Linked DNA regions of Diceros bicornis minor. The protein of the gene in region 2 interacts with the protein of the main gene of each other region in a pairwise test. Links are inferred from orthologs where the notes say so. Each region holds a gene or a part of one and is shown on either strand. Other genes may lie near its edges. The genes, in order: CDKN2D, NR4A1, PGBD1 and PRDX4.

Evidence for each region.
Region 1: the proteins of NR4A1 (region 2) and CDKN2D interact in binary tests that used the Homo sapiens proteins (3 or more experiments, as listed by UniProt). The two-hybrid records come from large-scale screens. The link is inferred for Diceros bicornis minor from reciprocal best matches to the Homo sapiens genes NR4A1 and CDKN2D.
Region 3: the proteins of NR4A1 (region 2) and PGBD1 interact in binary tests that used the Homo sapiens proteins (3 or more experiments, as listed by UniProt). The two-hybrid records come from large-scale screens. The link is inferred for Diceros bicornis minor from reciprocal best matches to the Homo sapiens genes NR4A1 and PGBD1.
Region 4: the proteins of NR4A1 (region 2) and PRDX4 interact in a two-hybrid assay, tested with the Homo sapiens proteins (2 studies listed by BioGRID and IntAct). The link is inferred for Diceros bicornis minor from reciprocal best matches to the Homo sapiens genes NR4A1 and PRDX4.

Annotation. Positions count from the first base shown.
Region 1 is NC_080769.1:8,697,900-8,705,504, forward strand, and holds CDKN2D (cyclin-dependent kinase 4 inhibitor D), read left to right. Parts: upstream 1-4,753; 5' UTR 4,754-4,950; coding exon 4,951-5,091; intron 5,092-6,135; coding exon 6,136-6,495; 3' UTR 6,496-7,105; downstream 7,106-7,605. Other genes in the region: AP1M2 (AP-1 complex subunit mu-2), read left to right, coding at 1,093-1,251, 1,791-1,916, 2,286-2,361, 2,750-2,772; protein KRI1 homolog, read left to right, coding at 7,573-7,605. UniProt on the Homo sapiens protein: Interacts strongly with CDK4 and CDK6 and inhibits them.
Region 2 is NC_080756.1:18,053,490-18,060,904, forward strand, and holds the start of NR4A1 (nuclear receptor subfamily 4 group A member 1), read right to left. Parts: upstream 3,009-7,415; 5' UTR 2,931-3,008; intron 2,701-2,930; exon of another isoform or gene 2,393-2,700; intron 1-2,392. UniProt on the Homo sapiens protein: Orphan nuclear receptor. Binds the NGFI-B response element (NBRE) 5'-AAAGGTCA-3'. Binds 9-cis-retinoic acid outside of its ligand-binding (NR LBD) domain.
Region 3 is NC_080753.1:38,618,470-38,625,830, forward strand, and holds the start of PGBD1 (piggyBac transposable element-derived protein 1), read right to left. Parts: upstream 3,009-7,361; 5' UTR 3,000-3,008; coding exon of another isoform or gene 2,946-2,999; intron 1,114-2,945; 5' UTR 1,033-1,113; coding exon 637-1,032; intron 1-636.
Region 4 is NC_080781.1:19,904,843-19,911,716, forward strand, and holds the start of PRDX4 (peroxiredoxin-4), read left to right. Parts: upstream 1-3,860; 5' UTR 3,861-3,923; coding exon 3,924-4,167; intron 4,168-6,874. UniProt on the Homo sapiens protein: Thiol-specific peroxidase that catalyzes the reduction of hydrogen peroxide and organic hydroperoxides to water and alcohols, respectively.

The DNA.
Region 1 (7,605 bases), on a different chromosome or scaffold from region 2:
GAATCCCTGGGCCAGCCTTGGTGGCCTAGTGGTTAAGTTTGGCATGCTCTGTTTAAGCAGCCCGGGTTTGGTTCCTGGGCACAGACACCACTCATCTATCAGTGACCATGCTGTGGTGGCGGCTCACATACAAAAAAAAAAATAGAAGAAGATCAGCAATAGATGTTAGCTCAGGGCGGATCTTCCTCAGCAAAAAAAAAGAAAAAAAGAAAGACGAATCCCAGGAATTGTAGCGTAGCTTAGTGCATCAATTTCTATAGCTGTAGAATATTCTACTGTGGGAATCTTCTACATCTGTCCATTCTCTTGGTGGTTTTCAGTTGCCTGCTACTCTGGTTCACAGCCCCGTGCAGGTTTCTTGGTGCCCCAAGCAAGATTTTCTCCAGAGCTTATAGTGAAACCTTTTTTAAGATGGGGAAACCGAGGTCCAGAGGGATTAAGGTGTCACTCATCTAGGAAGGGGTGGGGCATGTTGAACTCGGGTCTGCCTGGCTCAAGAGTCTGTGCTCTTTGATTTGACTGTTCCCCAGTCTTAGGGTCTCAGGGGAGCTGGGTTGTGGGGTGGATGGCCACCAGCGAGGGTCTGGACACTCCTCAATGTCCCCGTCTCTGCAGGCAGGGAACGGGCAAGGGGCCATTAAAGCTGGTGACTTCCAGAAAGAACGCCCTCTCCCGGTCCTCTGCCCCTGATCCCACCTCTCAAACACCCCTCCCCAAATTACTGAATAACAGCAGTAATCATAATGCTAGCTACCACCCGTGGAACACTTAGAATCCTTGTGTTGAAAGCTGTCCCGTGTCACACAGCTCTAGACACAGAGAGAATGTGGTAACTCATGCATTTATTTGTAAAGTGTGATGGTTGAGGACGCAGGCTCGGTTGGAATCTCTGCTGAGCCAGTTGCCAGCTGTGTGGCTTTGGCAAAGTGCTCTTTGCCTCTGTTTCCTCATCTGTACAATGGGCAGGATAATGGTCCCCACTTCAGGGTCGTGGGGGCTGGCTCTCAAGGAGATGGCGCCTGGAAGGGTTTGGTGAAGATTTGCAGAAGGCAGGAGTGAATTCTTCATGCCCCGCGCTCTCTCCCTCGACAGGCCAAGGGGCAGTTTAAGAAGCAGTCGGTGGCCAACGGCGTGGAGATTTCTGTGCCTGTGCCCAGCGACGCCGACTCCCCGCGCTTCAAGACCAGCGTGGGCAGCGCCAAGTACGTGCCGGAGAAGAACGTCGTTATTTGGAGTATTAAGTCCTTCCCGGTGAGCACTGGGGACGGTGGGGCATCTGGCGGGACTCGTTCCCCCTGCTTGAGGGCAAGGTGGAGAGTAAATTGGAGACCCACATCTGCGTGCACACGGTTATCCTTGGGGGTCACACAGCTGGAAACCAGGCCAGCCTGGTGGTTAAGCTCTCCCCCTCGCAGGTCTCAAGGGAACCAGCCCTGGGTTCTGAGCTAGATGGCCTTGGGAAAGGCCTTCCCTTCCTGGAGCCTCAGTTTGCCCATCTGTGAAATAGGCAGGACCATGTTACCCACATCCTTGGGCTGCTGGAGGATTTGCTCCGTCCCTTGGATCTGCGAGGGGCTTCATCAGGGTCTGACAAATGGGATATAGTCACTAGAAGCCCCCTCTGCCCCCCGACCAAGCTTTGCAGTCAGAAGCTTTGGCTGTGAGTCTCGGCCAGGAGCCTTTACTTTCTTGTCTGTGAAATGCGCTGAGGGCAGAGCCTGCCCTGGGGGCTGATGGTTGGGGGCAAGTAGGCACCCCTTGACGTGTCTGATGCCCCCATGTGCCCGCAGGGGGGCAAGGAGTACCTGATGCGTGCCCACTTCGGCCTCCCCAGTGTGGAGAAGGAGGAGGAGGAGGGCCGGCCCCCCATCGGGGTCAGGTTTGAGATCCCCTATTTCACCGTCTCTGGGATCCAGGTGAGGGAAGCGGGCAGGGTTGCTCCTGTTTTTCGCTTCAGTGGGTGTCCCTCTCTGCCAGCTCTTGGCTTGGGTCCCCTCAGTTCCTTGGCCTGGGTCTCCTCTCCCCCCACCTCTCACTTTGGCCTGTGCCACCTCGTCCCCCCAAAACCGCAGTGTCTATTCCTGTACCCTGTGCCATCTCTTTCCTGCCATCCTGGATCACCTTCCTCCACACTCCCACTGCCCGTGCCACATCTTTGCCCCAAGCCATGTCACCTCATTACTCCCAGCCTGTGTTATCTTCACCTCCCAAGGGGGTAGATATTTTTCCTTTGGCCCCAGCCAGCTGTCCCTCGAGCCTGGCCATGTCCTTTCATTCCCTTCCAGGTCCGATACATGAAGATCATCGAGAAAAGCGGTTACCAGGCCCTGCCCTGGGTCCGCTATATCACCCAGAGCGGCGGTAAGGCAGCTGGCTCCCCGGCTCCAGGAGACAGTCTTGGGGTTTTGATACAATCTAGCTTGGAGGGCTCCAAAACTCATCAGGCCTGGCCCCAGGCCTTCCCTGTCTTTGTCACCGTGCCACTCTGGGCCTCGGTTTGCCAATCTTTAAAATGGGGGCAGCTGCCAGCTCTGGGTGGTGGGGTTTGGAGGAGGCTGAACACAGCACCCCCATCTGTTGCCTGGAAACAGGCTTGTTGCTATGGTTACTGTTGCTGTGTCTGACCTCATCCTTGTTACATACTGGAGGGGTTGATCAAGAGCCCTGGGGCCAGGGAGGGATGGGGGGCCTGCCCCTCTGTCTCCTTTCCCCAGTTCTGAGACAGTCCCTGCTCACTGTTTCCCTGCAGATTATCAGCTTCGTACCAGCTAGGAGGGAGAAGAGGCGGGGGCTTGAGCATACGCCTCCCTGTCCCCACGCACCGACTACAGACTTGAGAGATGGGGAGGGAAGATGGGCGTGTGTCTGTGTGAGGGCAGGCCCCTGGCTCAGCACTTTCTCGCTCCCAGCATCTGTCTGCCTTTTCTTCTACCCATAGGCTGGAGGGATGGTGTCCCTCCCGTGTCCCCAGCCCCATCCCTCCCGCCCCCGGGCTTCCCCCATCCTCCAATTTTATATGAAGAAATAGAAGAGGGACTTGAAGCCCCCCTCATGAGTGCCTTCTCGAAGTGACCTGCCTTAGGGGGTGTTGTGGGCCCCTCCTCTTTCACAGCTGCTGAGCCCAGAGGCCCCGCTGGCCCACTCCTCTGAGTTTTAGTGTGGTATTAAAAAGATGAATCTAGCCGCTGCGCATGTCTTCTTGGCTGGGGGCCGGGGATGCCAGGGACGCCCCTTAAGTGCTGGGATGGGAGTGGGCAACATATCCATTCCTCAGCCCTGGGCATCGCTCATCTGGGCCAGCGAAGTTGCCACCACCTCGGTCCCCAGGCTCCCGCCTCCCCTCCCCCACAGTCAGTTCCCCTCAGAGCCGCCAGGGGGCGCCTGCGAACTTCTAAGTCAGATCCTGGCTCCTCGGCTCAGAAACCTCCCACGGTTCCCATCTTGTTAAAAGTAAAAGTCGGGTCCTCACCGCAGCCCACAAGCCTGAGCTGCACTCCTCCTCCCCACCACCTGCCCTCAGCTCCTCCCTCTCTCTCCCTCGCTCTTCCTGGACACACCAGGCACGGGCCCACCTCAGGGCCCTTGCATCTGCATTGCCCTCCACCTGGCATGCTTTTCCCCAGATATCCACACGGCGCCTTTTCTCACCTTCAGGCCTCAAATCAAATGTCACCTCCTCCGGGTGGCCCTCCCTGACCTATTTCAGCGGCTTCCTTTCCCCAGAGACTATCACTTACCCTGTTTTATCAGCTCCAGAGTATTTACCACTCTGAAAAGATTTAATTGTCTTCTCCCGCCCTAAACGATAGGCATCCTGCGGCAGGAGCCCCCCTTCCCCCCGACCCGGCTCGCTCTCCAGTTGGGCGCCTAGAACACAGTAGGTGCTCAATAAATGCTCGAATGAAGGCCTCCCACCGCGACTCTCGCCACCCAGGCTCGCCCACGTGGCAGCCGCAGCGTGAGCCTCCCTCCCTCTTGCATTTGCTGTGCCAGGGCTGGCTCAGTCTGGGCCAGAACGTGATTCCTCCTTCGCTCACCACACTTCCCTTTTTATTTTCTTCGCGCTGCTTAACGCCATCTAAACCCGCGTAGTCCCTGGAACGTGCGCTCCCCACGCCCGGAACGGTTCCTGCGCGCAGTGAATGAATGAAATTAAACGCTCCGCGCATAGTAACGGCGAATAAATGTCATCGCGTGACTCAGTGCTGGAACCCGGGACCGGGCGGCCCCAGCCCTGCCTCCCTTCCCCCCGGAGGTGCCGAGGTCCCGGCGCAGCTCGCGCTCCTCTGCCCCTGACCTTTCTCCCCTGGGTCAGTTAAACCGGCCTTCTTTCCCGCCCGCCCGGCGAGTTTGAAAACCGAAAACCCCGCCATTGCCGGCGGTCCACCGGTCGCCGCGGCTCGGCCAATCAGGAGCGGCGCCGCCCACGCCGGAACGCGAAACCTCCCCGGCGACGCGTCGCCATTGGCTACGCCGGCCGCGTGGGCGGTGCGCCGCAGGGCCCTGCGCAGGGCAACGCGGCTGGGGCTACAGTGTAGCGAGTTCGTAAGAAAACAAATCGGCGGCGCTCGGGGGCGGGGCCTGGGCGCGCTGGCTCCGCCCCCTGGCGGCCAGCTCGGCGGCGGCGGCGGCGCCGGCTCAGAACAGACCCCGCCCGTCGAGGAGGAGGGAGGGTGAGTTGGGGGGAGACCCGGCCCCCAAGGGGCGGGCGCCGGGCCGGGCCCTGCGGGCGGCGGAGGGTTGGGCCCCGCTCCCAGCCCCTCGCGACCCGCTGGCTGACAGTGGGAGGAGCTGGCCGGGAGGGCGGGGGTCGCGCCGGAGCCCCCGAGTGGCGAGCCGGGCCGGGAGCCGCGCGCAGGCCGGGAGGGCTGTGGGGGCCACGCCGCCGGGCTCCCCCGCACTGATCGCGCCGCGGTGGGGCGGGGGGCTTCGCAGGCCGCCCGCGTCGACATGCTGCTGGAGGAGGTCCGCGCCGGCGACCGGCTGAGCGGGGCCGCGGCTCGAGGCGACGTGCAGGAGGTGCGCCGCCTTCTGCACCGGGAGCTGGTGCACCCCGACGCCCTCAACCGCTTCGGCAAGACGGCGCTGCAGGTGAGGCCCGGCCGGCCCCGAGCCAGGGCAGGGGGGAGCGGGGCGAGGACTGGGACCCCGGCCCCCTTCCCTCCCGTCTCCTGGCCCCGGCGGGGGCCGACTGGGGTCCGAGCCTCCATTCTCGGGCCGACGTTGCTCCTTGGAGTCCCCTTTCGTAGGTGGATGGTGGATGAGCTTGGTGGGGGAGGGGAGGGCTTCCCATCTTCCCTGGAGGACTCCTTGTTTTCTTAGTGCGGAGGATTCAGTTTCCCTGGAGAAGTGCTTATTCCGTGGATAAGGGTTCGGTTTCTTTGGATCTCGGTTTCATGGGGACGGCTCTGGTTTCTTGGGGCTTCTATGGGGGCATCTGATCCCTGGAAGGAGGAATTTATGTCTCCAGGGCGTCCCCATTTTCTGGGGGTTTCTCTTAGACGTATCCAGTTTTCTGGGGCGGATCTCCATTCCTGTTGTCTCCCCCCCCCCAGATTCATGGTATATTATAGGGGGTCCTAATGGGGGAACAGTTGCAGATTGCATGAAAATTCTTATCCCCTGGGGGACATTTTACAGGCGAACCCCATTTTTTGAGGGGGCCAGGTACCCGGGATCATCCCCATTATATGGGGCGGGGCTGTTTCTTGGAGAAAGAGTGTCAAATTCCCTGGGCATCTCCTTTCCTTTGAGAGGGCTGTCAAATTCTTTGGGGACAATTTCTCATTCTAGGAGGCCTATTTCCTGGTGATTTCCCATATCTAGAGGAGGGGGGGCTCTGGTTCCTTGGGGAGGGTCTTAGATTCCTTGAAAGTTTCCATGGGGCTATTCCCTAGGCGGGTGTCTTATTCTTAGGGGCGTGACCAGTTTCTTGGAGTCCCTGTTCCCTGGAGGCCTTGTTCTCTGGCCTCCTTGTTCTCAAACAGCTGCCCCGGGGGCTTGTGTTCCCTGGGGTTTCTTCGTTCCCTAGAGGATCTCTTCTCTGGCGTTCCCTTCTCTGAATGACCCCTCTCTCCAGGGACCCCTTTTCCTGGAACCCCTCCCTTGAGGACCCCGCCCCTCTGCCCCGCACAGGTCATGATGTTCGGCAGCCCCACGATTGCCCTGGAGCTCCTGAAGCAAGGTGCCAGCCCCAACATCCAAGACGCTTCCGGCACCACTCCGGCTCACGACGCAGCGCGCACTGGATTCCTGGACACGCTGAGAGTCTTGGTAGAACATGGCGCTGATGTCAACGCACCCGATGGCACCGGGGCGCTCCCCATCCATCTGGCGGTCCGGGAGGGCCACGCGGCTGTGGTCAGCTTCCTGGCTGCTGAGTCTGATCTCCATCACAGGGACGCCAGGGGGCTCACACCCTTGGAGCTGGCTCGGGGGAGAGGGGCTCAGGATCTCATGGACATACTGCAGGGGCCCACGGTGGCACCGCTGTGACCCGGCGCCACCCACCCCAGCGTCAGGACCGGCTGGGTTCCATGTCAGAAGAGGAGGAAAGAAACACTTTCTCCCCCAGCTCCTCCTGACCGCTGCCGAGGGGGAGGGGCCCCAGTTTGTGGCTTGTTGGTGTTGATTTCTAGAGTGTGTGTGTTTGAGGGGCATTTCTCATTTCTTTTTCTCACCCCTTTTGGTGTATTGAGTAGAGAAGGGCTCCTGCAGGCAGCAACCACTTAAACGGTTCAGTTTCCTCCACGCCCCAGGCTGCTGGGGCTGCAGATGAGGCCCAAGGGCACAGCATTTAAAGCCCCAGCCCGAGTGAGGTCATCGCGTCCAGGGCTCCTGGAACCTGGCGACCTTGGCCGGCTGTACCCAGAGAGAGACCTCGAATGTACACACTGCTTTCGGGCATGGCGGGAGGGGGGAGTATTCCAAATCAATAAAAGGGTAGTATGAGTTCATTCATATTCTGTTGGAAGCTTGTTTTCCAGTCTCTTGTACAGCGTTAAAAAGAAAAAAAGATTCTATTTATTAAGCTTTATGGAAAAAATTGTTGTGTGTGATAATTTAATGTTTTTACCCATTAAATTAAGACTTGTGCGTGACCACAGCGCCGGTGGCTTGTGATTTTTGAGTCTGCAGCGGGGAGTCGAGCGTCCGCGATGTTGGCGGGGTAGGCCCGGGGGTCGCGGGTCTCGGATGATTTGGGGGAGGGGAGAGAGTGGTAATTCCCAGGGCGCCAGGGTGAGTGAGCTGGGTGGGGCAGCGGTTTGCGCTGTCGGAACGGAAAGGAGGCAGGAAACCGCGAGTGGAGAAAGGGCCCCCAGATGTCAGCTGGGTGCCTGGAGCCGTGGGGGTGGGGGTGGGCGGTGGCCGCAGCCTTCCCCGCAGAGGTGTGACCCGTGGGCGGGGACTGCGGGCACAGGGCGTAAGGGATCCCGGAAGGGCCGGGGGCAGGGTTAGGCACTGCCAGCTAGGCCCCGCCCTCTTTAAAGTTCGCGGTGGGCGGGGCCTGGGCAGCCCCGCCTCCTCCAGGGCAGCTCGCCGCACGCGTGCGCAGTGGGCCGCAGAGCCGCCATGCCGGAGCCGCGCGGGTCGTCGGCGCTGCGG
Region 2 (7,415 bases):
GACGGGCAGGGAGGGCCAAACACCTCCCACCACAGCCAGGCCCAACCTGAGTGCCCAGGTCTTCCCCACCTGTGTCTGAGAAGAGGGGCCAGAGTCGGGGACTCAGGGGGTGCCCAGAAAGTGATTCCTAACATCTCAGAGCAGGTATCTGATCCCATCTCCTGTCCCAGATCAAAATCACCTCCTCAACGGTCATCATCAGCATTTACTGGGAGCCTACTGGGAAGCAGGCAGTGAGCAACGAACAGTGGGAGACCCAAGAAGGAGCAAACCGAGATCCCTGGCCCCTAGAGGTTACGACAGGGGAATGAATCAAGGTCCATCACAATCAGCACTGTGCAAAGCAGAAGGCAAACCAAGGGCTGAGTGGGCTGGAGGGGGAGAAAGTGATGGCCCCCCAATGGGATGGGCGCATCCGGCCAGACTTCAGCACCCAGCTCCGGCTCCCCCTCCTCGCTGTACTCCAGCCCCATGGGCTAGCTTTCCCCACTCAGGACCTTTGCATTGGCTGTTCCCTCTGCAGGAAGTCATTGCCTGGGATGTCTGTATGGCTAGCTCCTCCTCATCAATCAGGTTTCCATTCCATTCCACCTCTTTCGAGAGCCTCCACCCCACCCCAGCAGAGTAACCTATTTTTATGATCTCCACAGGATGAAAGCTGTTCATGTGCTCACTTGTCTGTCTCAGTCACCGCAGTGTCTTCAGTCTCTGACAGAGAGCTCAGCACTCGTAGGGCTCAGCAGGTGGTTGTGGGATGGAGGAAAGCAAGACTCACACATGCACGGGAACAGAGCTTCGAGGAGGGTCGGCCAGTCACTTGGCAGGAGGTGGAGAGGACCCTGCAGCTGAGAAGCTGTCCCTTCCATTTCAGGGCCGAGCCAAAGTCTGAGGGTTCTTCCCTATGCTCTGTCACAACCCTGCCGCCAGGAGCTCCCAGCCCTGGCACCCAGCTCTGCCCGGGCCCACCTGAAAACTCCCTCTCCTTCTTCCTATCAAGTATTTGAGTCTTTTCTTTTTTTTTTTTTTTTAATTATTTTCATCCATTTTTTTCACTTTTTCTTTTGTGAGGAAGACCAGCCCTGAGCTAACATCCAATGCCAGTCCTCCTCTTTTTGCTGAGGAAGATCGGCCCTGGGCTAACATCCATGCCCATCTTCTTCTACTTTATATGGGACGCTGCCACAGCATGGCTTGACAAGCGGTGCGTCGGTGTGGGCAGATCCGAACTTTCGAACCCCAGGCCACTGAACCGGAGCTCGAGAACTTAACCGCTGCGCCACCAACCGGCCCCCCAAGTCTTTTCTTAACTAAACTCCTCCTTGCAACAGGACATGGCTGATAGACCCTCTGCAGCCCCGGTGGCCTCCTGGGCATAAGCTCTGCATTGGCCAATGTGCCCACTCAGAAACAGGCATATTACTATTATTAACAATAACAACAGCAGCTAATATTTGTTCAACACCATTGTGCTAGATACATTACTAAGCACTTTACATGCATTTTCTCATTTCTGCCTCACAACACTATGAGGAAGAGATCTATACACTATGAGGAAGAGATCTATGAGGAAGAGATTATCATGAACATTTTACCAATGAGAAGACTAAGGCACAGAAATGTTAAGCAACTCACCCAAGATCACAGAGCTAAGAAGTGGCAAAGCTGGGATTAGAACCCAGAGAGCCCCACCTGGGAGCCCAGGGCCAGGCATCCCTCTTCCCTGATTGGACCTGTTCAGTGGGTAGAGGCCTCCGACTGCACAGAGCAACTTTTTTTCTTTTTTTTTTTCTTTTTTTTTTTTTTTGCTGAGGAAGACAGGCCCTGGGCTAACATCCGTGCCCATCTTCCTCTACTTTATATGGGACACCAAGACAGCATGGCCTGACAAGCGGTGCATCGCTGCGCGCGCGGGATCCGAGCCCCGGCCGCCAGCAGCAGAGCGCACGCACTTAACCGCTACGCCACGGGGCGGCCCCCTGCACAGAGCAATTTGACAGCCAACACCCAAGAGCAGGTGGGAGCCCCCAGCCCCCAGGGCCAGGGTCCCTGGGCCTTTGAGCCAGGCACTGGGCCTGACTCTTGACCTGATTTTTTAACTCCAGCACAGACTTCGACATTTATAAGACATCACATTCATCTTGTTAGTCTTGGTCCATCCTTCTGCCCAGTTGCCATCATTTGGGATCCTGGTTTTATCGTACCTCTCAGCTCTAGGTCACTACAAGGAGTCGGCTGGCTTCCCTTTTAAGTCTTCATCCAAATCACTGGTCTAAACATTCATTGGAGTGGGTCTAGGACCAGCCTGTAGCCACCCCTGAGCTCCTACCCAGGCTGTTATCCGCCCCACAATCCATCAGCACCCTTTGGGCATAACTGTTGTGAATCCACCTACCTCTGCCCAGCCTTCGTTTCCCAGCATGCTGGTAATACCAGCCCCAAACTCAAATTCACGTTCATTGTAAACCACCGCAAATGCCGCCTCCGCAGAATTCCTAAGCCCAGGTCTGCTCCCGACTCCATGAGACCCTCGCCAGGCTCGGTTTCTCCTCTCAGTCCCACGAAGGGGTTGCCCCGGGCAATTTTGCTCCCTCCGGGCTCGGCGTCTTGGCAGCCGAGCTCCCCAACTCCTGGAACCCGTTCCCCGCAGCTGGCTGGGAAATGGAAGGAATTTCTCTAGCCTAGCCACCTCCAGCGCCCCTCGCGGGCCAAACCCCACCCTTGGCGGGCTGGGGAGAGAAAGGCTTGGCCGCCGCACTCGGGGGCTGACTCTGAGCTAGCAGGATCCGCTGGGAATCCAGTCCCTGCCCCCGCTCCCCGGGTTCCAAGCAGGACCCCCAGTTCCCCCCACCCCCCAGTGCATCCGCGAAGCCCCCCTCTCCCCGGGCCTCTCCCGGGGACCACCTCACCCTCTCCCCAAACGGCCCCCTCACCTGGCCGGGCGAGCTCGGCTGGCCTCTCCGCCCCCGCCTTCCGGGGTCGCGCGCCAGCCGGCGGGGAGCCGCTCCACACGGCGGGGGCGCCCATGCCGGGAGGCCGGGGGTCTGGGCGCGCGCGAGGCCCCCCAGTTCCGCCGCCGCAGCCGCCTCGGGCTCCTGCAGCCGCGCCGCTGCGGCCCGCGCCCCCCGCCCGGGCAGCCCCCCGCCCCGCAGTTCCGGCCGCGGCCGCGCCCCCCGCCCCCGCAGCCCGCGGCCGCCCGCGCCGCCAGCCCAGCCCCGGGCGCGCCTCCCCCGGCGGGCGGGCGGGCGGGGACCGTGACGCGCGCCCATTGACGTCTCCGGAATCCCGGCGGCGGCGGCCGACGCAGCCTCATCAATGGGGCTAAAAATAGCAGCGCCCGGAATAGCCGCGAGCGCCCCGCCCCGCGGCCCCCCCAGCCCGACACGCGGGCCGCACGCCCTGTTACATAAGCCGCCCCGCGGCGACCGGGCCGGGGGAGCTGTTTTTCAGGTGAGGGTTGTGCGGCCTTGCTAACACCTTCCGAGGCGGCCAACCTGGGTCTGGGTTATAAATAAATTTACCCGGGGCTTCCCCAGAGGGAGAGATGGAAAAAATGAGGCCCAGAGAGGCGCGGCAGCGGCCCAAAGTCACAAAACAATTAGGGTGGCTTGAGGGACAGGGCTCTGGCCCTCTTGGGCACCCCCACCAGCATCGCTTGGCCTGCATGCCACCCCAAAGGCAAGGAACCCAGCTAGCAGGGTGCCCAGCTTCCACACAAGAAGGCAGCTCAGACAGAACAAGAGGACTTCTTGGGAGGGTGAAATTTCTCCTGCAGAGAAGCACTCCTGGAGGCAGGTGTGCAGACAGGGGCAAGGCCCCAGTGGTGGATTCACTGATCTGGCTGCTCCCATACTACTGTGTGACCTAGGGCAAGTCACTTCACCTCTCTGAGGCTCAGTGTCCTTACCTATAAAATGAGGATGATAATCTGATCCACCTTTTCTGGTTATCGAGAGGACTGAACAGCTGTGGAGGTGCCGTGTACACAGCAGGCACTCCTAGTTACTTTCTCCTCCTTGCTCTCCTCTAGGAGTCTGACCTCCCCATCCACAGCTGCTCACCACAGTGGCCATGAACCCATGAGTGGCCCACACTCTTCTGATCACAGTCTCCAAGCACAGGCCTCCCCAGGAAAAACCTTCCCGGGGTAGGAGTGCTTGGAAGGTTTCTGTCTCCCACCTGACTGGAACACTCATTGGAAAAGGGAGCACTATCTTGTCCTGAGCAAGTCCTTTCCCCCTACAGCCGCCCTACTTAGGAGTGGCTAGTTCAGGGAAGCCAGGCCAAGGCTGAAGCAGTGGGGCTGGGATCCAGGATCTGGCTGAATGGGGCTGGGGTGACAGTGTCTGCTCCTGTATTGTGTGCCGGGCCAGGCCATTGAGGAATACCCATTAAGCAGGACCCAGGCCTGTGCTCTGCTGCACCAGCCATCCGCCCCTGCTCCTTTCTGGAGCCGCCTTAAATGACGAGCATGCTGTCTGATCCCCCGCACCCAGGCCAGGCCCCACGGGCCCTGGCCCCACGCAGCAAAGAATCTCTTCTGCATTCAAAGCTCTCCCAAAGAGGCCCCACACCCCTACTCAGCCCTCATTCCAGGGGCCACATTCCTCTCCCCACCCCCCTGCCCGCCCCCAGAAATCCTTTTCTGGACCTGTCCTAAACTTCTAGTGCAACTCAGAAGCCCCTTTCTCTCCTTCTTTATAATGATCCCAAGAATCTCTGGTTTGTCTCAAAATCAACTTCTCAGAACTTTGACATTTCTCTCCCAGATTCCAGTATTAGGCCAATAAAGAGACCAAGAAACTGAGGCTTCAAAAATGGCAAGGGAGGGTAGCCATGAGACTGGCTTCTTCCTCCCCCAACCCCCTTCTCCTTCCTACCCCAAGAGTTCCTTCCAAATGGGCTCTTTAAAAAAGCCACTACCCCCTCTTTTTCTTTTTCCAGAAATCTAACTTTTGAAATACATTTTTAAAATATTTGCCTGTGTAGGAGAAATACATTTATTTGGACAGGAAGGATAAAAAAAAAGGCTCAGTTACCAGTTTTTCCATGAAGTCTTCCAGCCCGCAAAGGTCTCTCCTTTCTATAAATACTTAAGCACAACTTGCTTTCTTATACACTCTCCTGTTTTATAACCAAGTAAAACCTATATTAAAATATGTAATGCTAAACCACATACACCTGTGTGGCTCGTGACAGCAGTGTGAGGTGGCAGAAGGAGCACAGATAGGCTCAAGAGGTCTGGATTGACACTGGTTCCAGCTATTACCAACTGTGTGACTTCAGGGAAGTTACCTTCTCTGGGCTTCAGTTTCTTCATTCGAAACACAAGGATGATAACATACCCATCTCACAGAGTCGTCATGAAGAGTGCATCTTTTTTTTTGGTGAGGAAGACCAGCCCTGAGCTAACATCTAATGCCAATCCTCCTCTTTTTGCAGAGGAAGACTGGCCCTGGGCTGACATCCTTGGCCATCTTCCTCTACTTTATATGGGACGCCACCACAGCATGGCTTGACAAGCGGTGTGTCTGTGAGCACCCGGGATCTGAACCCCGAAGCGCCTGGGCCGCCAAAGCGGAGCGCGCACTCTTAACCGCTGCACCACCAAGCCGGCCCTGAAGAGTGCATCTTTTTTTTGTTTTGTTTTGTTTTTTTGGGTTTTTTTGTTTATTTGTTTATTGCAGTAACATTGGTTTATAACATTGTATAAATTTCAGGTGTACATCATTATACTTCTATTTCTGCATAGATTACATCATGTTCACCACCCAAATACTAATTACAACCCATCACCACACACATGTGCCAAATTATCCCTTTCGCCCTCCTCCCTCCCCTGGTAACCACCAATCCAATCTTGAAGAGTGCATCTTGATAGCAGATACAAAGAATGCAGCAAGGAGTCTGGCACGGAGTAGCAGACCTGCCATTTCCATGCAGGAGGACTTGGGGGAAGGAGGGGTGGGGACCTTGTCTTGAAGCTGTACATGCACAGCACTCACCCAACTTTGCCTGGCTAGGGTGTTTATTTGGGGGCTTGAGGAGCTGCACAGGGCAATGTCACCTCTTAGTGTCATTACGGATGTGCAGTAAATTTCAGCCCCCTTGTTGTCTCCTTGACCCAGACCACTCAGCTAGTCAGTGGCCAAACCAGGACCACAGCCCAGGTCTTCTGACTCCCAGACCATGGCTCTCGTTTCTACCCACCGTCTTGTCCCTCACGCCTAGCCCCTCCTCTTTCTACGCAAATTCCAGGAACTACGCCACAGCCCCTATTGCAGATGGGAAAACAGAGGAGAAAAAAGTAGAAGGTCAACTGCTTGCATGGCTGAGGAGCTAGGACTAGAGGAGGAAACAGACAGTATGGCCAGTGCTGTCCCACATCCTAGGAAATTCCTCAGGTAGAAGAACAAGACCTTGCCACAGAAAGCTGGTTCCTAGTCTGATGGGGGACAGGACACAAGAATAGCTATGAAAACATTGCCAGAAGGAGGTCCAAGAGGCAGCCTCCAAGAGGCCTCGAGCTGGTATTGGGGTGGAATCTAGAGGGATAATCTGAGAGGCCTCTCTGGAAGAAGAGAACATGGGGCACAGTGTGAAGGGAGAGATAGGACCAGGCCAGGCAGAGAGAAGGGAGGGCCTCGCATGGAGGAGAAAGAATGACCCCAAAGCTCATAGGTATGGGGTGGGAGCAGGGTTGAGATTCTGGGGGTGGAAAGCCCCAGGACCCAGGACAATCAGCCAGACCCCTAGTGGTCTTCCCCATAAGGCCCTCCATCTGACAATAGCAGAAACCCTTGATCCAACTACCCCCAGTCAGGGAGACACCTTTCCCTTACCTCCACCCTGGCCCACTGGGGCCAGGGTTAAAAGAATGGCAAGGCCGTTTCCCGGCCCATTTGGGCCCAAAAGGGGCTCCCTTGCCCAGGCCTGGCCCTCAGTGAGAAGAGGGGCTGTGGAGGGGATTCCCTTCACGGTTCCTTTCCTCATCTTGAGGATGGAGAAATACCTGGCTGGGGTCCCCCACCGCTCCCCAGATTTAGGAGCAATCAAAGGGTAAAAAAAAAAAAAAAAATGGGGGCACAAAGACAGGGCCTAGGGACACCGCCTGCATGGGGTTGCATGCTCTGCACTACACAAGGATGAGGAGGCCCGGCTGGGTGCTCGGCTGGGTGCTTTTTCGAAGTGCCTCCACATTTGCTCTTCCCCGGTTGCCACGGGACGCCGTCAGGGCCGGCACGAAAAAGTGGCCAGGTCACCAGGCTGGAAGTGACAGAGCTGGAGTGAACGCCAAGATTTCCCCTAAATCCAAACCAGGCTCTGTATTAAAAACAAACAGAAATCCTCTGTAACTTATTTTTTAAATTACAAAATCAAACAGGCTCGTTGTAAACAAATGCAGAACTGCGTGATTT
Region 3 (7,361 bases), on a different chromosome or scaffold from region 2:
GCATTCTATATAACAACTGGCCTGTACTCTTCAAAAATATCAATGTCACGACAGACAAAGAAAGACTGAGCAACTGTTCCACATTCAAGGAGCCTAAGAAACACAGCAACTAAATGCAACATGTGATGCTGGATTGGATCATGAATTGGGGGAAAATTGCCATAAAGAACACTATTGGGGTAATACGGCAAAATTTGAACAAGGATTACTTTTTGGATGATAGTATCATAACAATTTTAATTTCCCCAAACTTGATAACTGTATTCTGGTTACACAAAGGAATGTCCTTGTTCTTCAGGAATACACACAGAAGTGTTTAGAGGTAAAGGAGCATGATATCTGCACTAACCCCCAAACAGTTCAAGAAAAAAAAGGTGTGTGTGTGTGCATGTGCATATATGTATGCACACATAGAAAGAGAGAAAGAGACGGGGAGTGCTCACTCACACAAGAGTGGGGCACATCATGAAACAACTGTTAACAATTGGTGAATCTGGGTAAAGAGTATACAGGAGTTCTCTGTGCTATTCTCCCAATACTTCTGTAAATTATAAATCATTTCAAAATAAAAAGTTAAAAATTAACAGACAAATGTTCCCCATTTCTTCTCCCACACCACACACATTCTCTTCCCACCTGCTGTCCTGTGTCTCTTGTGTCTGTCTCTAGATTCTCCAGCGCTATCACCACCTCCTCTCCACTCTCCAGAGGATACGCCTGCACACAGGCCTGGAGCTCCCCGGGCAGGATGTTCAGGAATTGCTCCAGCACCAGCACCTCCAGAATCTGCTCCTTGGTGTGTGTCTCTGGTCTGAGCCACTGATGGCAGAGTCCCCGAAGTTGGGCCAGAGCCTCCCGGGGCCCGGCTACCTCCTGGTAGCAGAACTGCCGGAAGCGCAGGCGACAAAGCTCCCGAATGTGGGAGCTGCTCTCCTGTGAGCTGCTCATCTGCTCCCATGTGGGATCTTCCTCCTTCATTCTCACAAAGCTGTCTCCATTTTCAGGAGTGAGGCCTGACAAAGCTTCATCCATGTTGAGCTTAAAGGCTAGGAAAAGGTTCACTTAGCCGGAGTCTATGCTTCAGAAATGCTTTTCCAAATGTACATCTGAGACCTAAAAATTGATCAGTAACTTGAAAATTACAAGAGCTTCAAACTCTAAGTAACATACTTATATTTTTGTCCCATCTGTAAGTCATGCTCAAAAACTGAGACTGCTTGCCTATATTATCAGTGAAATTAATCAGAAGTATAATGAACACTTGAACCTAAGGAGGTTGAGCCCAGAAGTAAGAGATGTAAGGTATGGGATATGAGGAAAGAAGGGTTAACAATAAGAGTGCTTGAGCAGCTTACACTTTAGCTGGAGAGAAGAGATAATTTTACCCATGGGTGAGCCAGATGGCTGCCTTCATGGACAGATCAATATACTGTGAAAGGTCATCTATCTCTGTGTATTTCTTATGGAATATTCTACCTTAAATGTAGGTGAGGTAGACTGTTTCCAAAGTCTCCCATCCCCTAAAACCTTTTGTGATGAGATTTTGTCACTCTTCTCATCAAGAGGTGGAGTCTATTTTTCCCTCCCTTGAATCTGTGCTGGCCTATGACCTGCTCTGACCAATAGAATATGGCAGAAATGACACTGTAAGAGGAAGTGCTCTTGTACCTCTTGGCACACTGCCATGAGACTGCCATGCTGTGAGGAAGCCCAAGCTAGCCATGCAGAGAAGTCATGTGGATGAGAACCAGGGTACCCCAGCTAAAGCCCCACTGGGCCTAGTCTACAGCTGATTCAACAGCTGAATGCAGCCTCATAAGTAACTCTAGCACTGCCCAGTCAACCCACAGAATCATGAGAAATAACAAGCTGAGGTTGTTTCAAGCCACTACATTTGGGGTTTTATTTTAGATAACTGAAACGGTAAACATACTCTAAGTTCTTTTCCCTCTCTCTCCTCACTTTCTACTTTTGTGATCTCATCAATCGTAATTTCAATATACCTCTATTCCAAGCACACTCAAATTTCTGTCTGGCTCCAACTTGCTTTTCACATTCCAGACTCACGTCTTGAAATGCCAGCAGGATGCCTCCAGCTTCGGGCCTCTCCTGCACCATAATTTCAACACATCCCAAACTGAATTCAGAGGCCCCTCAAAGCTGCACTCTCTCTGGATTGTTCATTTCCATTGGCATCACCACCATCTTCCATACATTCAGGCTGAAAACCAGCCCCTACACATAATCACTCTGAGCCTAGTCAATTCTTCCTCCAAAATGCGTGTTGCAGCCATTCCTTCCTTTTTATTCCCTTATTACCATTTACATTCACTATTACAATAATTTTCTCTATGGTATTCCTGCCCCACCACACGCTCTGTCATCATTGGATTGATATTTCCTAAAGCACAATTCGGACCATATTCAACACCCCATCCCTCTCCAAAAGCAGGTTTCAATTGCTTCTCACTGAACTAAATTCAAACTCCCCAGGATCTGATCCTTACTGAGTTTTACTGGTTTGTTTGTCACTCAATAACATTTATTGAGCACATCATTACTTGCCAGGCATAACACTAACCCAGGAATAAAAGACACAGTTCCTACCTCCAAGAAAGCCATAGTTGTCCCAAATGCTTCATGTCACCGCCATATCAACTACTCAAATTTTTTCCACCCACCTTGTACTTTACGGCCAGGATCGCCCTCGTAACAGGGTAAATTCCCAAACCCAAACCTAATGTATAGACAGAGAAAACTCTTCTGTCCTCTAAGCCACTCAGGTGGAGGTGGGGCGTTCCCATGGAAAAGTGAGCTCACACCTGCCTCATCCACCGCCCTCCCTCTCCGTCTCTATCACAGACCACACCCCCAGTCACCACCGCCGCCCCTGCTCCTTGAGGACAGGAGTTTATTTGCATAACCTCAGGGAGCCCGGCACGTACCTGGTAGTCAACAGATACTGGTGGACTTCTGGATGAATGCACGTAGATGTACATGAGATGCCGGTAGCCAAGACGCTCTGGCGAGCCCAGAACGTACCTTACTGAGAATGCACCGCGCACCTAGCGTCTGGCATACAGTGGGCACTCAATAAGTGCGTGTCTAATTGCTGGGTAATGGACCAGAAGTTCAAGGAACGTGTACAACAAAGACGTGGCCGACCTCGTGAAAGGCTCCCACGGGAGCGCGGGGGCCCTGGTCTCCACAGTCGGGAGGAGCCCGCCCCCGGCCTCCGCAGAGCCCGGGCCGCAGCCCCTCGCGGGGCGGGCGGGTCTCGCCCTGCTCCCCGCAGCCGGCACCGGTGGTGGGACGGGCGTAGGGGCGCGAATTTCTTCTGCAGCCGCGCGGGCAGCGGAGTCGCGGCGTCCGGCCGGCTCCGTGCCTCTCTAGGAACGCGGCCGCACGTCTCTCTGGTGCGCCCGGCAGACCCCCGCGGCCACCCCGCCCAGCCCAGGCGTCTCTCAGCCGCTCGACCCCAGGGCGGTCCGGACGACCCAAGCATGCCCATCATTTATGAAACCATTTCAGTTAAAAACCACCAAGATGGTAAAGGCAAAACTGAGTCTCTGTCTTTAGGGTCCTCACAAGCTGCTGGGGGACACAGTTGAATAAATAATTATAATACAGCAAGCAGCACAAATTAATTTTTAAAATTTAAATATACAGATTATATATGAACAATAAAAACTCACATTGAGTGAAGACTATAACATGAAAAGCGTCCCACTTCCCCGAGTTAACCATTGTTAATATTTTGTGTATATCATCCCAGGACACTACCAGCCACACAGTAGCACTCAATAAACATTTGTTTAGTGGCTAAGTATGTATCTATATATGTTAAAACACTTATGAGATCACAATATAATTTCGCACCTTAGCTTTTTCGGTTAAGATAGCTTAGAGAGCTTTCCATACAAGCTTATTTTTTAACAGCTAAATAGTATTCCATTGTATAGTTGTACCATAATTTACTTAATTATCCCTCTTGTTTTATTTTTTCTTTATAAGTAATGCTGCAGAGAACACCATTGAATATCTTTACATACTTTTATGAGTACATTTCTAGGGTAAATACTACACATTGGAATTGATTTGTTAAAGGGCATGTGCATTTAAAATTTTGATATACAGCTCTCCTATTTAATTTTTAATGGCACTGCTGTTTAAGAGGAAAAGGAGAATCTAATAGAAAAATTCAGCAAAGGTGAACATGGCTGTTCACAAAATCAGAATTATAAATCACCAATTAATATATGAAAAGATGTTCAACTTTAATAGTAAAAATATTTTTTAAAAAACTCTTTAAAAAGTAGACCCATTTTGTATGCACCAGATTGTCAAATATTCAAAAGAGTAATTCCCAGGGTTGATGGGTGTGGAAAAATGGGCATTTTCACAGACTGCTAACAGGATGTACACCTTTCTGAACCTTTCTGAAGGACAATCTGGCCAATGCATCAAAAAACCTAAGAAAATATGTCTATCATTTGTTTCATCGATTCTAGTTACAGCAACTAAAGGAAGCAAAATAATTCTACAAGTAAGCAAAGTTGTATGTACAAGGATGTTCACTGAAATATTGTTTATGGTGACAGAACTGTAGATAACCTAAATGACTAACGATGGGGACATATACCATAGATAATTGTGAACTTATATTGAAAATTATCTTCCATGAAGACCTCTAACGATCTGGGTGTCTAAATCAGGGATTTCTTTATTTGTTGGCAAGGTTCAGAAACAAGTCAAATTAACTTAAAAGAAACCTTTATTAGAAGGAAACAAGGGCATTCCATGACTCCCAAGACCAGTGTATAGATGGACTGCAGAAGTTGAGGGCCGAGGCTGCTTCTCCTGAGTCTCTCTAGCCTTCATGGGATCCTGGCTTCAGGAGTTGGCTTCATTCTTTTGCTTCTTGCTGCCAGCCCAACGAGACAATGGAGTTTGTCTCTATTTGGTTTTTATGTGATCACAAAAATGGTTCCGGTTCTCTATTACTTTCTGGTTCAAATGCCTAACAGAGACCAACCAGAATCTGTGATCCCACGTCAAATTCCTAGGTGTATCTAAATGACCAAGCCTGGCTTAGATGCCTCCTCCTGGTTCAATCCTCTGTGGTCAGAGAAGGATCCAATGGCTGGCTGCCCACTCAGGATTATGGGAGATTTGGACTAGAATGGAGTGGGCAGGTAGGTAAATTGATTGTTCTGTCCACTACAAATGAAAACTGTTCATGATATAATTAAAGTCCAGTGATAAAAGTGTTTCTATGTATAAAAAAGATCAGCATCTCAAAACATACATTAAGAGAATATCTGTGGACCATGAGACAGGATGATTTGTTTTCTTCTTTACAATGTTTTTACAATGTATATGAACTTTCTGATAAATATGAGTTAATTTAATAAGAATTTTATGAAGATATTACAATGGACAATTATGTTAAAAATTGAGCAGAAAAAATTATTAATACTGACTGATCATAATTAAGTTAGAATACACACACACACACACACATACTAAAGAGTGATTATTTTTGACAGATGGAAATTAGGGTGATTTTTTTCTCCTTTCCTATTTTTCCATACTACTTTTATAGTGGCAAGCTATATAATAACTTTATCAGATTTTAAACAGGAGAGTGAGCAGGAAATGGGGACAAACAGAGACTGCCAATTCCACTCTATATTTGGACACTGCAGCTACTACCCAAACAGAAATGGCTGAGCAGTAGAAGACACTGGTGCAATATAGTTCATCCTTCCTGGGTTCCTGCCCTCTGCATAGATTTTTAACTTCCTTTTAAGGTATCTAGGATGTGTCACACTGCAAGCAAAAACCTAATCGAGATGTTATAACATTTGCCCTTTGTTTAATGTTTCTGTAACTGTCAAGAATAAATAAGAAAAACGTTTTTGTTGTTTTTTTTTGTAAGGAAGATCAGCCCTGAGCTAACATCCATGCCTGATCTTCCTTCACTTTATGTGGTACGCCGCCACAGCATGGCCTAACAAGCGGTGCATGGATGTGCGCTTGGGATTCGAACCCGGGCCACCAGCAGCGGAGTGCATGCACTGAAAAACATATTTTTAAATATATCTCTATGCAACATTTATGCCCAGGTGGTTCTGGGTCTGCCCCCAAGGTACTGATGAAAACACCATTTCCTTTGGAACCTAAGGAAGAATTAGGTTGTTTAAGGTGTGAATGAATTCAGAATGCTTATAATACCCGTACTATAGAATCATCTTGAAGAAAGAAAGGCAAGACAAATTTTCCAGATATTTAAGGGTATACAATTCTTCATCCTTTAAATCTTTTCCTTGTCATTGCTTTTTAAGGAGAATAATAAAGATATTCTATGTTCTTTCCTTCTCAAACTGAACAGAATCAAATAGATTTAAACTATGATGAGGAGCTAAATGTTTAGGTACTGACCTCAGCACAGCCCTCAAAATACTTGAAAATCCCTGATATCAACTTAATTTTACTCATAAAGACAGAATAAAAGATACGTAGCTTTATGGCTTCCTAAGCAATGGAACGTGACTGACTTTTCCACGAAGTTCTTTAGTGTCTCAAAAAGTTACAGTTGTTTCTCCTACACATTTGGTCATCCTCCAGGAAACAGTATTAACTGTGGCTTCTGGTCAGCTTGTACCCAGTCAGATCAGAGTGGAAGGAACAGGAAGTTTGTCAGACTGCTAAGTGCCTATTCCAACATTCATTCTCCCCTTATTCTTTCTTTCTTTTTTTTTTTTTTTGTGAGGAAGATCAGCCCTGAGCTAACATCCATGCTAATCCTCCTCTTTTTGCTGAGGAAGACCGGCTCTGAGCTAACATCTATTGCCAATCCTCCTCCTTTTTTTCCCCAAAGCCCCAGTAGATAGTTGTATGTCATAGTTGCACATCCTTCTAGTTGCTGTATGTGGGACGCTGCCTCAGCATGGCCGGAGAAGCAGTGCGTGGGTGCGTGCCCGGATCCGAGGCCGGGCCGCCAGTAGCAGAGTGCGCGCACTTAACCACTAAGCCATGGGGCCGGCCCCTCTCCTCTTTATTCTTAGTGACAGAAGCCTAATTTTCAGTTGGGCCCTCTGCAACCCAGACACACTTTCCAGCCTCCCTTTCCTAAGTTTTGGCCTATGACATATGTGCTAAAGTAATTTATGGGAAGGCTGCTCAAAGGGCGCTGACTGAGCTGGAAGGAGCCTCTTTTTGTCCTTCTGCCTTCTGTCCACATTTTGCATGTGAGGTCTGGAGCTTCAGCAGCCATCAAGGATCATACGATGACCTTAAGGACCGATGGCACACACTAGGATGGTGGAGCAGAGAGGCAGAGGCCAGAGTCCCTAGTG
Region 4 (6,874 bases), on a different chromosome or scaffold from region 2:
CATATAGCCCAGCAGTTCTAGTCTTAAATATACACCCAAGAGAATTGAAAACATATGTTCACATAAAAACTTGAGCACAAAGCATAACCCTGTGACTATACTAACAACCACTGAATTATACATTTTAAAATGATAAATTATATGTTTTGTGATTTATCTACTCATAATAGTCTAAAAGTATAAACAACCTGAATATCCATCAATTTATGAATGGGTAAACAAAATTTGTATATCCATACAACAGAATATTATTCAGTCATAAAAAAGAATGAAGTACCAATACATGCTACAACATGGAAGAACCTTGAAACCATTAAACTTTAAATGAAAGAAGCCAGACCCAAAAGGACAAATATTGGATTTGGACAATAAGGATTGGACAAATAAGGATTCTACTAATATGAGGCACCTAGACTAGTCAAATTCAGAGACAGAAAGTAGAATGGTGGTTTCCAGGGGCTGGAGGGAGGGGAGAATGAGGAGTTATTGTTTAATGGGTACAGTTTCAGTTTGGGAAGATGAAAAATTCTGGAGAAGGATAGCGGTGATGAGTGCACAATAGTGTGAATGTACTCAATGCCACTGGACTATACACTTAAAAATGGTTAAAATGGTAAGTATTGTTATGTATATTTTACCCCAATAAAAAAGGAATGGGGGCCGGCCCAGTAGCATAGTGGTTAAGTTCGTGTGCTCTGCTTCGGTGGCCCAGAGTTCGCAGGTTTGGATCCCGGGTGCAGACCTACACACTGCTCATCAAGCCATGCTGTGGCAGCATCCCATATACAAAATAGAGGGAGATGGGCACGGATGTTAGCTCCGGGCCAATCTTCCTCACCAACAAAAAAAAGAAAGAAAGGAATGAAGTACCAATACATGCAACAACACAGATGAACTTTAAAAACATTATACTTAAGGGGCCAGCCCGGTGGTGCAGCAGTTAAGTGCACACACTCAGCTTTGGCGGCCCAGCGTTCACAGGTTCGGATCCCGGACGCGGACAGGTGTACCGCTTGCCAAGCCATGCTGTGGCGGCATCCCATATAAAGTAGAGGAAGATGGGCATGGATGTTAGCCCAGGGCCAATCTTCATCAGCAAAAAAGAGGAGGATTGGCATCGGATGTTAGCTCAGGGCTGATCTTCCCCACCAAAAAAAAAAAATTATACTTAAGTGAAAGAAGCCAGACACAAAAGGACATATATTATATGATTTTATTTATATGAAACATCCAGAACAGGCAAATCTATAGAGAGTGAGTAGATTAGTCATTGCCAGGGGCTAGGAGAAAGGGAGGAATTAACTGCTAACAGGCACGAGGTTTCTTTTTGGGGGTGATGGAAATGTTCTAGAATTAGATAGCAGTGAGCACAAAGCACAATCCTGCGACTATACTAACAACCACTGAATTATACATTTTAAAATGATAAATTATATGTTTTGTGAATTTTATCTAAAAAAAAATTTGGACAAAAAGTCTTCCCTCAGAATGAGTACTCTAAATGCAAGACAGGAGGAAACTACCCTTTTTGTGACCTAGCATCAGAAGTCACAAAGCATTCTTCCTGTCATATGCGTTAGAAGCGAGCCCCTAAGTCTGGCCCACATTCTAAGTTAGGTTTTACACTTATATCATGAAACGCATATCATTTCAGTTTCACGACATGGGGAAGGTGTTAATGTCTCCCATCTACAGATGAAACTCAGGCTCAGAGAGGTTAAATTAATTTCCTAAGGCCGCGAGTCCAATAGGTGGCAGAGCTCAGACCGGAACATAGAAACAGCTGACTCTGTAACCTGTGCTCTTAAACCTCCATCAGTGCTGGGTCTTAACCAGACACGCCATTTGTGAAACCATAGACGCGTGGGACTCCCTCCCACCAAGGACCTCTTAAATCATCGTGTCTGGGGCTTGGTCCATACACTTGAATGTTTTTAAGCTCCTCAGGTGTTTCTGAGGTGCATCCTATGTACAGAATCACTCCTCTCTGCCTGGTGGTTTTGTATTATTTATATGGGCAGCTGACTCCAGCTGGATGGTCAGTGCACTGGGGACAGGACCCCCACCTCCAGCTCCCTTGTGACTGCCACTGTGACAGCACAATGTGTGCCTGCAGGAGGCAAGCGCTCAGGAAATATCATTGGCTAGGAGGATTCAGAGCAACTGACACCCAGAATGCCAGCTGCCAAGGGGTTCCAGTGGAACTGAGGGGCACACAGTTTGTGCCTGGGGGTTGGCCTACCTGGCCACTCTCTCCAGTGGGCAGGAGGTTCACTGGGGCCCACTTGGTGGGCAGCCCCTGCTGCCAACTGGGGCACCTCAGCTCTGCCCAGAGCAGAGGTGTCGGGAAATAACACTCTCCCCGAGCTTCTCCTCCCAGTTCCCAAACTTACAGGCCCACCTTAGGGCCTAGAATTCACTGAGGCTCCGTGGTTCTTTGTCCAACAGTCAACATGGATCACAGAAGCCGACCTCGGGGCATAGGCCTAAGCCGGAACCCTGGGACTCAGTCCCGAGCCCCCCGGGCCCCACTCCCCCTCTACGTGGAACAGGAAGCCAGGGAAGGAGAAGAATGGGAGCAGCGAGAGCCACCTCGTCAAAGGACTCCCATCTATGGGCTTCCCGAAAGTGAAGAGTTGCCAGACAATGTTATGGGTAAGGACATGCTCTCCTCTGCCCCGGCAAAAGGCAGGTGGCTTCATATTTTTCCTCCTTTGCCCACAGGAAACTGAGGTTAGGAAACAGAAAACAAAACTTATAACGGGCAGGACTGGGGTGAGGGCTGAATTTGGCAAGGGCAGGTTTCCTATTTGCCTCAAAGGGTTGTCACAAGGAGTAAGGAAATAATATGTGAAAGCAACTTGAAACTAAGACAGGCTGTCAGGAACATTAGCTGTTCTTTACAAAATCAGGCACTTACAATAGTAAATGCTCACCGTGTGCCAGGTGCCTTGGGAAACAAAAATGAATTCCACATGGATATTGACCCCAGGGAGCTGACAGTCTAATAGAGAAAAGACGAACTGTTAGGAAGGCTTCCGCGGGATTCAGAAAGATGACAAGAGCTCACAGGAAGATAGAAGGGATCTTGGGGGGCATAAAGGCTGCCGATGGCGCCTGTCTTTCTGGTGTGTGTTGTGTCTCTCTCCCCAGTTCTCACCCGCCATCCTAGCAAATGGGTGAGTGATGGGGAGAAGATGGAACAACACTGTGCTGGGATAAAGTCTGGTTTCCTAGGAACTTTTCAAGTCTTGATTAAAAAGAAAATAGACACCTTTGAAATAGACTTAAGTCACCAAACTGCCTGTTTGTCCTTGCCTACTGGAGGAGAGTAAACGGTTAGACCTTTCTTCTCCGAGTGTTCCCAGAACTTAAAAGGGCTGCAACTAGATGGGGGAGTCGCGGCACTGTTCACACAGATCACTTAACGGAAAAAAAGGAGTAACTGTTAGAAGTATAAAATGCAAGCTGTTCAAAGGCAGCTAGGTTAGTTTCACTTGAGGGGAGGAGGGGGGCGGGTGGCGTGAGGTGGTGAGGCGGTGAGGCTTTGTAGAAGCGATGGGCGTGGAAGGATGTCTAAAACAGTGCACAGGGCGGGAGCGCGTGAGGCCAGTCACGGCGGAGGCCACCCGGCGGCCTCCGCAGACTTGGGCTAAGTCCCAGGGCGCAGGCGCAAACGCTGGCTGAGCGCGAACAGGCGGGGCAGGCGCCCACGTGGCGAGGCAGGAGAGCAGCGGGGGGCGGGGGAGCGGGGAGGCTGGGGACGAGGTGGGGGGGCAGGAGGGCGGGGGGAGTGGGGGGCGGAGCAGGTCTCGCGAGGCCGCGCCCCGGCTCACGCGGGCGTCGAGCGCGCGGTTGTAGCTGCCTGGCGGCGGGAGAAGTCGCGCTCGCGCCAAGAGACGTGTGTCTGCGCTCGCGTGGTCATGGAGGCGCCGCCGCTGCTGCCGGCCGCGTGGACTCTGGCTCCTGGCCGGAGCCGAAGGCTGCTGCTGCTGCCGCTGCTGCTGTTCCTGCTGCCGGCTGGGGCGCAGCGGGGCTGGGAGGCGGAGGAGAGGCCCCGAACCCGCGAAGAGGAGTGCCACTTCTACGCGGGTGGACAAGTATACCCCGGGGAGGCGTCCCGGGTTTCGGTCGCTGATCACTCCCTGCACCTCAGCAAAGCCAAGAGTAGGTGGTGCCCCGCCAAGGCGGGGGGTGACCGGTGGCAGAGGGAGGCTGCTGGTGGGGAGGGCCTGGTGACACGTGTACCCTGGTTACGGTGGCTACCCGAGGGCCTCGCTGGGGCGGCACCCGGGCTGCCTCAGGTCCCTGAGCGGTCCTGGCTCTCTCCTGGGTGTTGGGGAGATCGAGGGGGGTTCCAGCTGTAAAGAAAGAAATGGTTTCCACTAATCAGATTTTGAAAGAAGTAGTGGTTACCCCGAAAGCCACAGATAAGGGAAAGAGGGTGGCCCTCGTCCCAGGCTTGAAAGCATAGGAGGATGTTGTGCAAATCCAAACACTTCCTCAAACATTGCAGAGTGCCTGCAGCACATCACGTCCGTTTTCAAGTACTGTTTCAGGGAAGAATGCATTGATAAGTTGAATAATGATTCATAGAAATTTGATTAAACAGAAAAGTGGTTAAACAAAATGCCGAGGAAGGCAAATGCTTCATTTTTCTTTCTTTTTTCTCTTTCTTTTTTTTTTTTTTTTCCATCTTGTAAAGATTTTAAAAGCTCTCCCCAAAAATCTGTATAGGTAGTTAATGGGTATTCTTTGTATTTCTCAGAAATGAAGAACTTGTTACAGGGTGTATTTTGGAGGCTCTTTGTAGGGAAACCGGGAAAAAGGAGGTTGGAAGTAATGCATTTGAGTTGATGATAAACCTGGTGGCAAATTTGTGTCTTGGCAGTTTGGTTTTTGATTATTTGCATTCTGTCCAGTGTACACAGCTAATGGCCACTTTCAGGAAGGACACGTCAGATTAAGTAGATAGTGAGAAAGTTATGGCCTGCTGCATCTGGGTGTTAAGATTAGCCAAAAAGAAGTGGCCAGGGAGGGGCTCAAGGATAGCGACTGTCCTTTGCTTGCTTTTAAGTAACCTGCTTTTCCTGTGGATCATTTGGCATTCTGTAGATGTGCATTTGGCTTTTGTGGTTCAGTTACAGCATGTTATGTGCCCATATTCAGCAAAAAAAGTAATGCTTCACTATTAGGACTCCCCAGTGTTGAATGGGATGTTGTTATGACTTAGGTTGGATTGGGAGGGATAAGTGAGCAAAACTGTTTTGCCTCCTTACACATTTGCTGTTCTTTCCTACTGAAAGTTAACTACTTTTGGACTTTTGTTTTTAAAAAGCCAGTCTTGCACTTTTAAAATCATAGTATTTCCAAGTCCTGTTGGTTTTACTTGCCTGGGAAGATATTTTGAAATATGTTAGCCAATTAAATGTTTACTGGCATTACGTATATTTCCCATAAGAAACAAATCCCATCCAAGTCTGCTCATGGAAGCAAAAAGTAGGAATTATAGATCTCCCTTTACCAGCAAGCCTTTTCAAATTTTAGATATTTGCTACATTTCTGTGTCACATGTAGGCTTATGTAGAATTAAAGATAGGAGCACTTTTATTGGTAAAATGGAATATTATGGAGCCATTAAGTCCATACTTTCAAATAATTTTAGTAACGTGAAAAACTGCTAATGATTTACTGTTTCCTTTTTAAAAAGGGTGCAAAGGATCAAAATTTGTGTGTTTGAGGGCCAGCCCTGTGGCTTGGTGGTTAAGTGCGCGCGCTGCGATGCTGGTGGCCCCGGTTCGGATCCCGGTTGCGCATCGAGGCACCACTTCTCTGTCCATCCTGGGGCTGAGTCCCACATACAGCAACTAGAAGGATGTGCAGCTGTGACATACAACTATCTACTGGGGCTTTGGGGGGAAAAAAATGAAATAAATAAAATCTTTAAAAAAAAAAAAAAAAAAAAAAAAAAATTTGTGTGTTTGAAAAAGACTGGAAGACGTCAAAATGTTAACAGTGGTTAAACTGATGGGGGTTATGGAGAGAAGAGATTTAAACATTCTTTATACTGCTCTGCATTTGCCAGAATCTTGGTTAATTATATGATTTATATTCAGGACAATTTTTGTTTTTTGATAGATGCAAGGGATTGCTTTGGGTATTCCACTTATAGATCTTAGCAAAGTAACTACATTCTTTTTGCTCTATAAATTAATGACAGTTTTTTTTCTTTGAACTAACACTGCAATTCTTAAATCAAAACCCCAAATTTCCAAAATCAATTTATTTTTCAGATTTGTTTTTCTCAATATGCTAAAATCATTAAGGAGTATCATTGTAACAGATCATTACAATTATAACCTCACACTTGAGTAGCATTTTAAATAACATATGTAAAGCATATACAGTTGAGTACCCTTCTGCTATCTAATTCGCCCTCCTGGCCTTTACTTAATCAGATCAGAATATTTATATGAGGTAGGCTGCTGGCCCAAGATAAGTAATCACATGTTATATATTAACTTCACAGAGAAATTCATCTTAAGTTTGTCTCTGGTTTCAGAGTGACCAAAAATGCTGTCTGTTATTCAAAATACAATAAGTACTAGCAATTATAACCCTTACTTTCTAGGAACCTTAGTCAAACTTGGAAGCAAGTATTGACTTCAATGTATGTAATGGTTCTGAAAGTTTAAGTGCTATCTGAATGTGTTAACAGAAGATCAAGGTACATTATTATCAAAGCGTGTTGGCTAGAATTACACCATGCCCTCACAAGAGAGTGCAGGAACTATTCACTTTCCATCAGGTCACTTGAAACCTGTTCAAGGGGGTCTCCTATTTCAAAGGCCTCTAGGAAAATAATCCCGTAGTC